2 linked regions of the Diceros bicornis minor genome follow. The protein of the gene in region 1 interacts with the protein of each later gene in a pairwise test. Links are inferred from orthologs where the notes say so. Each region holds a gene or a part of one and is shown in the gene's direction. Other genes may lie near its edges.

Region 1 (7,623 bases):
TGTGGTGGAAGCTGTGGAAAGAAGAGGTCAGGAGGGAGCTAGGTGAAGCCTTCATTCAGAGAAAGTCACTGGATAATCTGAGGGGCTCCATTAGCTATGATGGTTTTAATTCCAGGACACACCTAATCGCAGCATCACCCCAGGACCCAGCTGGGTTGGGACCCCAGGATCCAACCCCTTCTGACTCTGACTACAAAATTAATCCTTTCAGCCCCTGAAAGAAGTTTGGTGTTCCGCAAGTCGAGGCCTCCAGGAAGCCCCTCAGACAGTGTGCTTTCAATCAACAACAAATCCTCGACCCCCTCTTCCTCTCACTCCTGGGCCACTGGAGAAATCCTGTACTGTGAGCTGAGAGAAGAGAGGGTTCGCCTAGCCATAGAGCATCTTCACAGCCTGACTCACAGGCAGTCACAAGCTTGGCGGGTGATGCAGTAGAGAGGACAGAGAAAAAGCACGATAGTAAGGGGGATACACGGCTTCTGGGGATACGTATGAGGGTGAAATGGGGGAGGGGAGGGAGATCCACAGGAGACTAGAAAAGGTGCACTGGTGGGATAGGAATGAGGCAATAAAGAAGAGGAGAGTGGAATGAACAATGAGGGAAACAGGAACATTTAGGGAGTGTGTATGTCTGTGGATTCAAGATGATGTCTAGGTCTCCAATTGTGTTTCCAGGCTCCTGATTCACATCTCATCCTTTCTCCTCATTTCGCTCCCCAGGTTGGTGCTTTGCACACATCCTTGCCTCGTCCAAAAGCTGTCCTTCATTTGCCTCAAGGACAGGGCTGCTCTCCTCCCCTAGCGACCTTGATGTAGACGTACAGCCTGATGGGGACTGTGAAACGGCCCTACCCCCACCCTCGGTCCCTTCTCTCTGGTAGTCACCTGGGCGGTGGCCGTGCCCCTGCGTTGCTGCCTCAATCGCTGAGTCCTGGCCCGGCCCCACTGCATCCTGACTTCAGCACCGGGGACAGCGACCAGAACTGCTGTCAGGACGCGACCCTCGCCCCCATTTCCCTCCCAGTGTCCCTATTTTTCCTGGCAGCCTGCCCTGCTTAACTGGGCAGGTGCTGGAGGTGGGAGTAGGGGAGTGGGAGATAGCAGAGCTCGGTTTCTCTCTCAGGCTGACTCCAAGCCTTGGAATATGACATAATTTCCCAGATCCCCCGCAAGCAGGACTGGAGGAGGCAGGGGTTTCTAATTCCAGTGGTCCCTGTGGTCCTGGGGGGTTGCCGCGTTCCCGAAACGGGAAATCCAGGTCTCTGCTTGTCCCTTCTGGCAGCCTCAGCCTGAGAAGTCACCGAAGACCTCTGGCTGGGAATCCCTCGCCCAAGAATTCTCAGGCTAGGTTGGGGGATGTGACTCTCTCGCCCCACCCGGGGACCCCTGGGCCGGAAATGAAGTGACCGTGGAGCGGGCCGTGTCGCGGCCCGTGGGGGTAGGGTCTGTGCCCCCGCCCTCCCTGCCGGGTCCCCAGTACCGGAAGTCACTGTAGGGGTGGATGATCCAGGCCCCCGCTGACTTGACCCGCTCCTGCTCGATTTCCACTGCTTTGTGGCTGCCGAACACGCGAAGGGAGAACTTGTTGACCGTGGGCTGCAGCAGCGTCCCGAGCTGCCTCCTCTTGGGCTCGGGCCCGGACCCAGACCCAGGGGTCGGACCCGAGGCCGCGGTCGCAGACGCCGGGGCAGCAGGAGGCGCCGCCTCCAGCCCAGGGGTCGCCCCGTCGCCGGCCGGGGTGGTCGGCCGCTGCTCCGCCTCCATGACGCCCGTTGGCTTACACGCTTGGCCTCCTAGACCCTACCGCGGCCATCCGGGACCCCCCGACCCCTCCCGGAGTCGGAGCCGGCGCAGCCCGGCGGGCTCGGAGCGGAGGCGTAGTCGGCTGGGAACTGCCGGCGCGCGGGGCGGAGGGGGTGTGTGCGACAGACACTCTGGCGGACAGCGGGCGGCTTGCGCTGCGCCCCCTGGCGAGGGCCGCGGGAAGGCTGGGCAGGGCGCGCGGGGGCGCGGCCGTCCGAAAGCCATCCAGGGAGGGGCCGGGGCCAATAAAGCCTGCATCCTGGAGGGACTCTGAGGTGGGCGTGGCTCAGCAAAAGGAGGCCGTTTTCCCAGCGTAGGAGGAGAAGGTAGGGAAACTCAGAGCCATGGAGAGGGGCGTGGCCTAGAGTTGATGGGCTTTTATCCACTGAGTGTTGGGGAGGTGGAGCCGCCTGCGAGTGGCGGAAAAACCGGACGCTGGTTGTAGCTCGTGAGACTCGGGAAGGCGAGGGATTGGGGACCAATGGAAGAGGTAGGGAATGGCTTTTGAGATTCTTCCCCACTCTCGCTCATGGACTTTCTGCATTCCACTTTCTCTCAGCACTCTCACTCTCCTAGGCATAGTCCTTCCTTCTGATCTCCTCCACACTGCTCCTCCTAGTATTTCCTTTCCGAATTCATTGTGCTAACCTTCACCAAACGTGACTGCCTGTCACCGAGTAGACGCTGAGGATACAAAGATGAATACAAAAGTCCTAGCCATAAAGCCACTGCTCGTCTGTGCCTGCAAACCGACAGAACAGGTAAACTATAGTGCTATGTGGTAAGTGCTGTAAGTTCCTAAACATCTCAAATTCTTCCCCTCATCGCCATTTCTTATTGCCACTGCCTTATTTCAAGCCCTCAGCATTTTTTCACCTAGATTATTTCAGAAGCCTCTAAAAGCGTCTCTAAACTCTCCCAGCCCAATTCTTTTTGCACAGTCTGCCAGAGTTACCTTCCTAAAATCCGAATGTAGCTATATCACTTGCTTAATGTCCTTTAAACTTCCCCGTCTTCTATGGGATTACATTTAAGCCCCTTAGAATGACATACAAGGCCCTGCAAAATTTGGACCTACTTTCTGACAGTCTCTCTCTTGAAAGCCAGGACTCCAATCATGCTGAAATGCTTTGCTCTGCCTTGTCTCCAGACCTTTGCAAATATTTTCTCTGCCTGGTATTCTTCTCCTCCAATTCACTTTCCAACAGTTGGTTCAGATGTCATCTCCTCTAGGAAACCTAGAAACACATTTCCAACTCTCCTTTCCCCAGGTAGGATCTAGTCTAGAGCTTTCTTTTTTTTTTTTTTTTGGTGAGGAAGATCAGCCCTGAGCTAACATCTGTGCTTATCCTCCTCTTTTTGCTGAGGAAGACCGGCTCTGAGCTAACATCTACTGCCAATCCTCCTCCTTTTTTTCCCCCCAAAGCCCCAGTAGATAGTTGTATGTCATAGTTGCACATCCTTCCAGTTGCTGTATGTGGGACGTGGCCTGAGCATGGGCGGAGAAGCGGTGCGTCAGTGCCTGCCTGGGATCCGAACCCCAGGACGCCAGTAGTGGAGGGCACACACTTAACCGCTAAGCCACGGGGCCGGCCCAATAGAGCTTTCTTACAGTGGCCAGGGCACCACTGTTCATGACAGCTGTTGTCACAGGCTGCCACTATTTGTTTACAGCTCTTTCTCTCCCATTACACTGTGAAGCGCTGAAGAACAGGAGCTGTGCACTTGTTGAATGAATCAATGATCTGGGAAGGTGTTCATGGAGAAGGAAGTGAACTCCCCACTCTTTCCTCTCAACTCCTTCATTACCCTTCCTCTTCTATTTCAGGGAACTTTTCCTAAACCATTTCTGGCCAACTGGTCTAATCTCCATCTGACTATCCTCCATCCCAGCTCCCTTCTGATATTCCCCGACTTTAATATAGTTAGCCTCAGGTTATTTTTTCATTTCCCTTTCTCAATTCCTTATATAGCATCTCTAACTCGGGCCAATTTGTCTCAAGGTCTCCTTCTCTTTCCTCTTCTTTTTTTCAATTACACATCTCATATATTATGTATAAGTACATAACATACAGTTCTCAAGTGATTTCCCCTTTTTAGCACCCAAATCTCCATCCCTCCACTTCCCAAACCTTTCCTCATGGCCATGGCCCTGACTCCACATGTGCACAGCTTTTGTTCAGGACAAAAGGTGGGAGCCCCTCCTTGCTGCGGTTAGGTGGCCGATCTGTTTTAAGAACTAGATATTTACAGGCTATGCAGGACAATCAGATCTCACCGCCAAGCCTCAAAAGTTGGCGAGCGGCGACACTCCATAAATGACAACCCTTTCTTTTAAATCTCCAAACCTAAGGAACCCACAGAAGTGCATGAAAAAGGTAAAAGACAGACGAATACGGAACCACACGAGGCGGGGCGGAGCAGGCCTGTGGAGCCCGGCGACGCCCTCCCCGCCCCCATGAACCCCCGCCCCAGCACCTCCCCCGCTCACACCATCGGACGCCCGCGAGCTACGCAAGGACGCGGTGGCGTGCGCGGTTCTGGAGGCGGAGCCCAGGGGTAGCTGGGAAGCGACGCAGGGCGTGCATACGTACGTACGTGCTCGCTCACGGTGGCGGCGACGGATCGGAGAGGCCAGAGCCGGAGACCGAGCTGGGATCGGGCCCCGGGCGGGGGCGGTGCGAGCGGCGCCAAGCGGAGCCTGGGGGCGGGGACGGAGCCGGGGCGGGCGGGACTGGAGCGGAGCCCGGGAACGAGGCGGGAGGTCCCAGGGTCTCGGGTTGAGGGGGTGGAGTCGCACTTCGTCGCCGCGGGGGTGCCGGGACTCCGGCCGCAGTGCCGCCGCCATCACGGACTTCCTGTGGGACAAGCGCACGGGCCTCGCCGCCAGAACGGTGAGCGCGCAGGCTGGCGGGCCGCGGGGCCGCGCGGAAAGATGGCGGCCGCGGGGCGGGCGGGGGATAGGATTGGATTGGGAGCAAGGGACCGGGGCGAGAATTAGGAAAGGGGGAGGGCTGAGACCAGCGAAGCGGCAGAGGTGAGGAGTAGGGAGATGAGGTGGAAGATTAGCCTGCCTTAGATGTGTCCGGGAAGACCTATAGGAAACTTGGGAGGGACCAGAGTAGGAGAAGGGGTGATGGAGTAGGGATAGGAGTGCCTTCAGAGATGAGAAAGAGCAGAATATCGAAGTTGGCTGAAGGCTGGAGAGGGGGAAGACACCACCGTGTCACTTGGAGGTTATGGAAAAAGTTTGACTCTAGGAGTGAGTTCTGGGTTTTCTGAGTGAGAAGGGGAAAAGAAGATTTAGAAGTTGAGAAGGTTGTACGTGGGAGATGCTTTGGGTTGGGGAGAGGCCTGTGAGGAACCTTGGTGGCAGTATGTATATGGCGATATTTATGTGGTTATGGTTAACAAGGTTGGATTACCTGGGAGAATCTTGTACTTACATCTTCTTGTCTTCGTGCAAGCCCTGTTAGGTCATGAATCAAATGTCACCCTCCTCCTCAATTTAAGGAGGTTGGGAAGAAGTAGCTTAGAATGGGAGCCAGATGTAGAAGTCATTAAAAGCCTTTTCCACACCTTATCCTCTCACTATCCCCCACCAAGCCTCCTGTCCCTGGGCCTATTTCATTTTATTCTGCCCTCCAGTTCTCATCTTCCTGGATTGTGACGGTCATTTCTCTCTGATTCTTTCCTTGAAGGAAAAAAGGGATTTGTGCACCGTGGCATTCCAATAACTGGAAAGGGGCCAGCTTTTAGCCAAGTAGTTCTGATATTAATTAAAAACCAGTTATTCTGCGAGGCCAGATGGGAAGCTGACTGCAGCTTGGGGCCTCCTGTATTAAAACTTCTCAAGGGGGGCTTTGGCCAGAGATGTGAGAGATGATTAAGTTAGTTCAAAGGGCTAGGCTCAGATCCCTGGAACTTGCTTATATTTGGTATTCACTGCTATATGCAGAGACCTAGTAAACTGGATTCCTGCCTTCAGGACACGGATGGTATAGTTGAGATAAGATACACTTAATGGCTGATAATATGTATCATAATAGTGTATACTAAAGCTTTACTCTGTTGAGTTGTGAGGAACTCCGCATAGCACAGATGTATCTTGGATCCCAGCAGTGTCCATCAGTTACACAATCTCACTTGTAGTGAGCTGTGGCCCAGACCTGAAGGTCTTCATGGAGCTGTGTTTGAGGAAAATCAGAGTAGAGCAGTGAGCTGAGTGGGGGGTAATTAAGAGATTGGGGGCAGGGGGGAAACTTCTTAGCGTTTTCAGCCCGAGTAGTAGGTGAATATATATTCCATTAAGGAGGAATTGTAGGCACAGAGGAAGACGAAGGAAGTTGGGGGTGGTAAAAAGAAGTAGAGATAAAAGTAGAAAGCAGCTTAGCATCTCTGGAGCAGCCAGTCCTCGGAGGAGACTTGTGAAAACTCAGAACTTTTCTCTCTATTTCTGCTTTTCCTTCCCTTCCAGATGCCTCATCCCCGAAGGTACCACTCCTCAGAGCGAGGCAGCCGGGGGAGTTACCATGAACACTATCGGAGCCGAAAGCATAAGAGACGAAGAAGCCGCTCCTGGTCAAGTAGCAGTGACCGGACACGGCGGCGCCGGCGGGAAGACAGCTACCATGTCCGTTCCCGGAGGTGAGACCTCAGGAAGAGAAATTCATATTCAAGGTCACTCACTCATTCATTTGTTCAACAAGGATTTATCGGTTACGTGCTACACAGCTGGGTGAAGATGATGCTCCAGATGGATAGCAAAATAAGCCATTTGCACTGTGGTATTGAGAGTGTTACCGTAGAGGAAGTATATAGTAAGGGGCTGAGGAAGCATCCAGCAGGTTTGGTTGGAATAGGGCAGGATGTGTAGTTGAGGGAAAGCTTTCCAGGGAATGTGACATCTAAGCTTGTCTGAGGGACAAAGGGGGAGTGTCCCAGGCAAAGGGAAAGCAAGTGCAAAAGACTAGGGGCCAGAGGTAGCTAATGAGCTAATAGACAAGACGAAGTTAGATCTGCATGGTTTTCATAACTTAGGGGCATATTCAGTAGGAGGGATGGGTTAGGGATAGTTTGGAGCAAAGCTAAATGTCAGTCAGGAAAGGCTCTTTGTTGGATTGAATCACTGGAGAGGAGCAAGAGGCCCCCAGAGGGCGTTCTTTTGCAGATCTCTTTTCAGAGGTCGTGGTGACATGCAGGTCGGGGGTCCTCCTCTGTGCTTAGTTACTTCACTTCTCTGGTCCTCTCAGAGTGACTTGATAAGTGTCTGAGAGCTATTTTTCTAGCATTACTTTTTGTCCTCACTGAGGGAGGACCTTGTCACGTGGTGTGGCAAGGAATGTGGCCTGAACAGATGTACCTAATGGGTGTTTGTTGTCCAACAGCAGCTATGATGACCATTCTTCGGACCGGAGGGCATATGACCGGCGATACTGTGGCAGCTATAGGCGCAACGACTACAGCCGGGATCGAGGAGAAGCCTACTATGATGCAGACTACCGGCATTCCTACGAATATCATCGGGAGAACAGCAGTTACCGCAGCCAGCGCAGCAGCCGGAGGAAGCACAGACGGCGGAGGCGGCGCAGCCGGACATTCAGCCGCTCATCTTCGGTGAGTGCCAGCCCAGGCCCTTCCTCTCCCCACCCTTCTTCAGCCCTCTAGAACCCTGGTAAGTGAGAAGTATCCTTGTTGTCAGCTGAGCATTGGGGCATGAACACTGAGGTGGGCACTGAGTTTGTCTGCTCTCTTGGAAGCTCTCCAACTCTTGGAGAGCCCTGGAATCTGCTTTGGAGATGGATGGGCACAGACCATTTG
Region 2 (7,386 bases), on another chromosome or scaffold:
CTTCCTTCCTTGCATTTTATTTTTGAAGATGGCTACTTGTTTGTCCTGTAGAGTCTTCTATTGTCTGGATTTTGCTAATGGTATTTGTGCAGGATTGCTTAACATATTCATCTGTGCTTTACCTGTGCCTTAGAGCATGATCTCTCAACATGAGCACTATTGACATATGGGTCGGATGGTTCTTTGTTATTAGGGAGAGTGAGCCTTTCCTCTGCCTTATAGGGTGTTTAACAGCATCCCTGGCCTCCACCCACTACATACAAGTAGCTCTCCCTCTGCTGTGGTAACCACAAATTTCTCCAAACATTGCCAAATGTCCCCTGGGGGCAGAATCACCCCTGGTTGAGAACCACTGACAAAAGTCTATGAGATCCAGGTTTAATGTTTTGGCAAGACTACTTCATAGATAGTGTTATGTACTTCCATCAGGAGGCACATGACAGCTGATTGTCGTTTTGTTATATTAATTAGGAGCCATTAAAACCATTGCCTTGATCTGTTTATTTCATTAATGGTTGTAAAATGGTGATGTCCTAGTTCTGTCATTGCTTCACCCTAGCCATATATTACCTGGAATAATTCTATGAAGAGAAACTTCCCTTCATCAACTACTTGCTTGGTAACCCTGAGATACAGTTCTAATTGCAAACACAGGATGAATGATTTCTCTTTGTTTGCTAGTTTTCAAAATAATGAACTGGTTCCCTAGCATCATCCAAAGAGGACTGATGAATTTTTTTGAACTATTATGAATTCATGGATTTAAACATACTTGATATGTTTCAAGCCAACGCAGTTTTATCTTTACAGTGCTTAAAATGTCCATATTTGGCCAGTGGGAGCCATTTTAGTTAGGAACTCTTCTGAGTCATTTTGACAGGACCTTAGCATTCATTGATCACTGCTGTCTGGTATGACAAGATGTTCTAGGTTCATATTATACATTTGCTTTCCCTATATTGATATTCTCTAAGACTCTGGACTGAGTCTCCTTTACTCTTCACTCTACATAATCTTCCCAGGGCAACAGAACTCAACTACCAATTTTTTTTTTCTTTGATGAGGAAGATAGGCCCTGACCTAACATCTGTTGCCAATTTTCCTCTTTTTGCTTGAGGAAGATTGTCCCTGAGTTAACACCTGTGCCAATCTTCCTCTATTTTGTGTATGGAACACCACCACAGAATGGCTTGATGAGCAGTATGTAGGTCTGCACCGGGGATCCAAATGCAGGAACCCTGGGCCGCTGAAGTGGAGCACGCAAACTTAACCACTAGACCATTGGGCCGGCCCTGCCAATTTTTTTTCCTGAATCCACACACTTGAGAGATATACACTCCAATCAGTAATATTGGCCAGGAGTAAGGCAATTTAGAGGCATGGTGGAGGCCAAGCCTCACTGGAAGTTGTGTGCCCTGATTAAAAGCATTAAACTTCAATAAAAGCATACACTGTACTGGTTCACGGAAAGTCTTAGGTCAGCAGGCACCAGTCTGCAACCTATGCTATATGACCTGGTCCTGGCCTGATTTAAAACTGAATATTGTGAAAAATATGTTTCACAGACTCTATTTTGTTCTCTTCCTCTGAGAGGTGCTGATCATCTTGAACTTGTGTGAGCTTGGTTTTACACTTTATGGGTGCCCATCTGTGGAAAGCCCAAGACATTTTCCATTCCCACTCTCCAGTGGGCTCAACCTGGAGATTCTCTCTGCAAAGCTTGTACTGCTTTTGTTTCAGGCTGGGTCCTGATTAGGCCCTTACTCCTAAGGTGTGTCCTGTCCCTCAAACATTATCTCAGCTACTTGCCCTCTCATTGTCTGGGGTCCAGCTCATTGGCATTCTCCTTAGATCCTTGACCACACTAAAGCCTCTTTCTCCCTCAGAACCTTTGTTACGTGCTGTTCTCTGCCTGGAAGACTCTTACCTCCACCTTTTATAGGTATCAGTCTCAACTTCACCTCTTCAGAGAGGGCTTTACCGGTTTTTCTACATAAAAAGTCCTTCTGCCTCATCATATTAGCCTTTTATTTGTTTCTTTCCTAGAATTCATCACATGTAATTGTTTACTTATGCCCTGTCGCCCTAACTAGAACATAAACCTGAACTCCTTGAAGAGAGAAACCAGATCCTATACTATATATGTATATTAACTCTGGAATCTATAACAATATAGGACTGAATAGGAATTTAATAAATACTAGTTGACTGAACTAATAAATGAGTAGAACATTACATTATAATGCTTTTCTTGATTCAGTCTCTTCTTACCTAACCACTGAATATCGACTTGAATTGAACTATGGGCAGCTTTGCCACCTAGGACCTTTGCTTACGTGAAAACTATCCTTCTAACATTACCCTTGCCCTTTCTCCCTCTCACCTAGGCTAATATTTGTTTAGTTCTCAACTAGGCTTTATTTTCCCTTCTTCAGAAAGGGAACCCCCCTTGTTACCCCCCATCACTCTGAGTGACATGCCTCTAAGGATTCCAATATCCTGAGAGTATGCTACATGATGCAGTAATATCAAGTGGGTGGGGGCTAGAGCCAAATTGCCTGGATTTGAGCCATGTTTCTTACTACTACTTGTGACTTTGGGCACTTTAATTTCACATTACTTCACTTTCCATTTATGTAAAATAGAGCTAGTAATCTAATTGCATTTTTGGAAGAGGAAATCAGATCGTATACTTCAAGTGCTCAGAACAGTACCTGGCACACACAGTAAGAACACACAATTTTAACCATTATTCTTACACGACATCAATACAAACAATCCATAATAAATCTATAAAACAACTTGGGGTGAGTTTATCATATGAGCCCGTGTGAGAACCACATAGCCCTGGAAGGCGCCTTCACCAAGGAAGGAAGTACTCCAAAGAAGTGAAGTGTACAGCATGGTTATATACCATCTTGAAACAAAGAACATATATCAAATATGACAGGAATCTCTTTTACTACAGTCACAAGCTGTTTTGCTAGCACAGCAGGTCAGTGGTAACAAGATAAACACAGCAGGTCACAAGATGTACACAGTAGGTCAGTTTGACCCTTAGTTTCTGGGACAAAGTGCTTATCTCTAAAAAAAACGCTGATATGGGGGGAGGCATACATCCTTATCTTTAAATGCATCATTCTTTGCTTTGTAAATGTTTAAAGCAGATGTACAATGCATGCTTCACAGGCTATGACACGCCTTCCTGGAAAAACAAGGTCAGGCCAAACTAGTTTTAAACCAAGTGGCTTCCTTATATACTCTGTCTGTCTGTCTGTCTCTATATATACTTTTCTTATTGCTTTTCATTTATTTCTCAACATTAATTTCCTATTGTCTCTTCCCTATATTATATTGAACATTCTTTAAAGACAGAAATACTATTCTATTCACCCTTGATTCCTAAGCATCTAACACATAGCTGGGTGTTATGTTTACTTGTTTTTCCTTCTCTTTTTTCCCTGCAAGCCTCCAACAGCTCCAAACAAATCTCTTTTAGTGTTTTTCCACTGCTTAAAATCTTCCCACTGCCTTTAGTTTGGTCTCAATTTGTTATAAAGGCCATCAAGGACCAAGAAACTCTAGATTATTTTTCTTTCTCTGAACATGCCATTGGTTTGTTTTTACATAACAATGTTACTTTTTTTTCAAATTTTCTTTCCCTTGTAAACTCAGTCATGGAGTAGTGAAGCAAAATTACATCTTTATTCTTTTGGATAATAAACTTTATGTACCTTTCACCATATTATTAGTTAAGTAGTTTTTGGTCACTTCTGTACTTTCAATTTCTCAATAGTCTCTTTAATCAACTGAGTACCCCAGGGCCTCAATAAATGTTTAAATCAAATTTGCTATTATGTGAATTACAAAGTTATATTAAAATACAATATAATTCCTTTCCCCAATTAAAAACAAAACTAGTATGCTTTTGTGACAAGTGAGCTAGTTGCATCCTGTGCTGCCTTTGAAGCCCGGGACACCAACTGTGAAAGTACAACTGCCATCCCTGCCGACTGCAAAGGCAAAGGCCCATACTTGTCCTAAATAAATCTCCGATTTCCAGAAGGGAATCAGGAGTAGCGCGGAGCGACACGAAGCATCTTCGCTCTTAGGCTGAAAAGTACGCGAATACCCGGTTCAGTCGAGAAAACTGCGCCACCTAGGCGTACACAGCACAGCAGCGGCTCGATTTAAATAACTCCGGCCGCTTAATCACTGGCAATGAGACTCTTTCCACGGACATCCGGGCTGCGGGGGGCGGGGCGACGTGCTGACGTTACGTCACGTTCCCTTGCTCGCCCTGCTTCCCCGCCTCTCTCCGCACTGTGACGTTCCCAGGGAGGAACGAAGCGTAAACAGCGCAGGGCATTTCGGGAGCGGGATTGTTTCGCGCAGGAAGCAGGCTCCATTTTAGCGCCGCCCGCTGTCGCCATCTGTTTCCCTTCCCTCCGCCTACCCGCTCCGGTCCCCTAGCCCCAACGGGAAGGCTTGGCCTAGGCCGCGGGAGATTGGAGCGAAAGGAGGGAAGGGGAAAAGGGAGAAGGGAAAGAAGCGGGGAGAAAAAGGGTGAGTCGAGAAGGGTGAGTGGTAGAGGCCCAGGAGCGAAGCGCGCAGCCCGGCGGACGGACTGACGGACGCCTCCGAGCTACTGCTGCCGCGGCTGCGGCGCCGGCGCGATTCGCGTCGAAGCGGCAGCGGCAGCAGCGGAAACAGGAGGGGAGCAATGGCGGCCGACAGCCGGGAGGAGAAAGGTTAGTGCGGAGGAAGGTGACGGGCGGAGGCGGGGCTCGGGAGTGGGTCGACGGAGCCGTGGTCGTCGTTGCCGCGTGGGGGTTGGGGGGGTTAGCCTGCTCCGCGCGGAGCGGGTCCCCCCGACCGAGACGCTTGCACTCATTGGAAAAGATCAGGCCTGCCCTTACGTCCTCGATCTCCCTATGACCTAACACTTATCTGGCCTATGGTTTTTCTTTGATCCTAATTCCCCTCTTCTTTTTCCGTTTAGCTGTTCTGGGCGCGGCTGGGACAAGGCCTGTTCTGAGTTGCAGGCCCTTAGGTTTATTTGCTGGTAAGATTATGCGGATGTAATGCATATCTTCAGAACAACCTTTTCTGGTAGGCGAAATTTCGAAAACCCTGAATGTCACGATCAGAGCTGGTAGTATAGTAAGTGAGCATATTTAAGAAGTGCTATAGGTGGATTATTAATCTCGAGAAATATCTATTAGTAACTTGTGGCTGTTCCTGTAAAATAGGTAAAGTGGCATGAATTGCCCGTTTGGCTCCTCAAACACTTATTTTAGAAAACAAGATGTTTGGAAGGGTAATTATATGATTTAGGCCTGGCAAAAAAAATCCTGGCCGCTATTCTGATAGAAACACATTGTGCTTAACTCCCGGAGAGTACAACCAGGAGCAAATGGATGTAATTTATAGAGAGTTGGAGGGATAGAATTACAGTGGAATATAGAAAGAACTGATGTTGCCAGAAAGGAGTGTCATGTTTTGTGAAATACCGATCTCCCAGGCTCTGGAGATGGAGATCCTGGATCAGTACCTGTCTAGAGGGTGGTCTGTATTAGATGGTGCCTTAAGGTCTTTTCCAACCCTAAGATTACCGAAAGATTATAGTTAAAAAAAATATGGCACAGCTGCTGCTCTTTATTTCACAGATCTACTCTTCTGTGTGGCTAGTAAATTTGGGGTGGGAATTTATTAAATGAGCTCTAGAATCAAGTTGCATTAGGCCTGTGATCTTTTCTCCTTAAAAGAAAGAAGTCTTCATGCTTCAATAAACTGCTGTAGGATAGGGACAAGCTTGGGAAGTGGAGTGGGTGGGAATATGTTTAAGATATTGCTCCTATCTTAAAGCAGTTCAATGATTAGGTTATGGTAGCTTAATTTTACTTCCTTAGACGAATCCTAGAAACCCCTTCTGCCCTTTTTTTGAGAAGTCTGAAAGGAATGTGAACATAGGATTGCATGGTGTTAGTGAATAAAAGAAACTGCTTTTAATTAGTAGTAAAGTTAGTTATTAAAATAGATGATTTTAATCAATAAGAATTCAGTCAATGCTTGATTCTGTCACTGTTATTTATGAGCTGTGTGTATGGGAATGGGTGGCAGTTATGGTGGGTGAGATGAACCAAATATAAAATGAGTAAAACTCAGCACTCCTCAAGAATTCGTTGTCTGTTAAGATGAACATAGTAATTTTAAGTCAGTAATAGACTAGACTCCATAATGTACATTGAGGAAGAAAAGTAGGTGGTGGTGTAGAAATTTTGTCAAAGAAGTGGATATAGTGATGAAAATGTAATCCAAATACTTAAACTTTATTATTGGGAAGTAGTAACGCTACCTATTAGCAGTACTTAGGATAAATTGTCCGGCTTTTGAAAGGCCTTGATTTGTGTAGTTTTTGAAAAACTTAATTTCCATAATTGAACTTCTCTATTTTAGAACTTCTGATATAAGTGCTTATCTTTATAGTTTAGATCGAAGATTGTCTCTTAGTTTACTGCGAAAGCTAGCAAATACAAACTTACTGGAATTGCTTGTTTAATTTTTGAGTAGCAGGATTTCTAGAATAATCCACTTTGCAAATAAGGAAACTGAGTCACACAGCTAGAATGATAGCCAGAATTAAAATCAGTACTTGACTCTTCCTTCTCATACTTGAACAAGGAAAAGTGGGAAACTAAGTACTTAGTGTCATCAGTTATCTTGTATGAAACATTAGGAAATGGCAAAGATAAACCTTGTAAGAATCTTAGACATGTCACAAACTTGAGGTCCGTTTTTAAATGATTACATAAATAATGTAAGATCTTGATCAGAAATGAGTTTAAATGGCAAGAATTTGCTATTAATCACAGAACAGTTAAAAGACTTGGTCATTGAGTCCTTGGATTATTGGGTTTTGTGCGTTAGCTGTGTAATAAACAGGCATTAACTTCTATAATGCTTCTGTAATACTAATACCTGGAAGCTGAAGCCTGTTATAACTGGACAGATTGCCAGCTTCCTTTGATTCCTGTGTTGATTATTTGTCCAAAAAGTGGATTTGAAAGACATTAGAATGTTGATGGTGTTAACTAATGTTAAATGCCATTTTTCTATATGCAGAAATACACATCTTTTTTATTATAAACACTTTGTATAAATTTTATTTCTTAAGCTCTTATAAAGTTCTCTTCAAAAAAGTTAATCAAAGTTTAATATATCCAAAATGTGGATAATAAGTTACCACTTTCAAAAGTAACATGTTTTCTACATTACTAGACTGGAAGCTTCATGAGGGTCAGGAGTATGTCTGTCTTGTTCATCAGGTTTCTTGTGTACAGTTATTGTGTCTCAGTTCCTTGAATAAATGATTACAAGGTTGTA

Evidence for each region. The genes of interacting proteins can lie anywhere in the genome.
Region 2: the proteins of CLK2 (region 1) and YTHDC1 interact in binary tests that used the Homo sapiens proteins (3 or more experiments, as listed by UniProt). The two-hybrid records come from large-scale screens. The link is inferred for Diceros bicornis minor from reciprocal best matches to the Homo sapiens genes CLK2 and YTHDC1.

The regions. Positions count from the first base shown.
Region 1 is NC_080743.1:59,140,046-59,147,668, reverse strand, and holds the start of CLK2 (dual specificity protein kinase CLK2), read left to right. Parts: upstream 1-4,614; 5' UTR 4,615-4,697; intron 4,698-6,280; coding exon 6,281-6,450; intron 6,451-7,190; coding exon 7,191-7,419; intron 7,420-7,623. Other genes in the region: HCN3 (potassium/sodium hyperpolarization-activated cyclic nucleotide-gated channel 3), read right to left, coding at 1,481-1,764. UniProt on the Homo sapiens protein: Dual specificity kinase acting on both serine/threonine and tyrosine-containing substrates. Phosphorylates serine- and arginine-rich (SR) proteins of the spliceosomal complex.
Region 2 is NC_080747.1:54,209,172-54,216,557, forward strand, and holds the start of YTHDC1 (YTH domain-containing protein 1), read left to right. Parts: upstream 1-4,382; 5' UTR 4,383-4,723; coding exon 4,724-4,751; intron 4,752-5,002; coding exon 5,003-5,065; intron 5,066-7,386. UniProt on the Homo sapiens protein: Regulator of alternative splicing that specifically recognizes and binds N6-methyladenosine (m6A)-containing RNAs.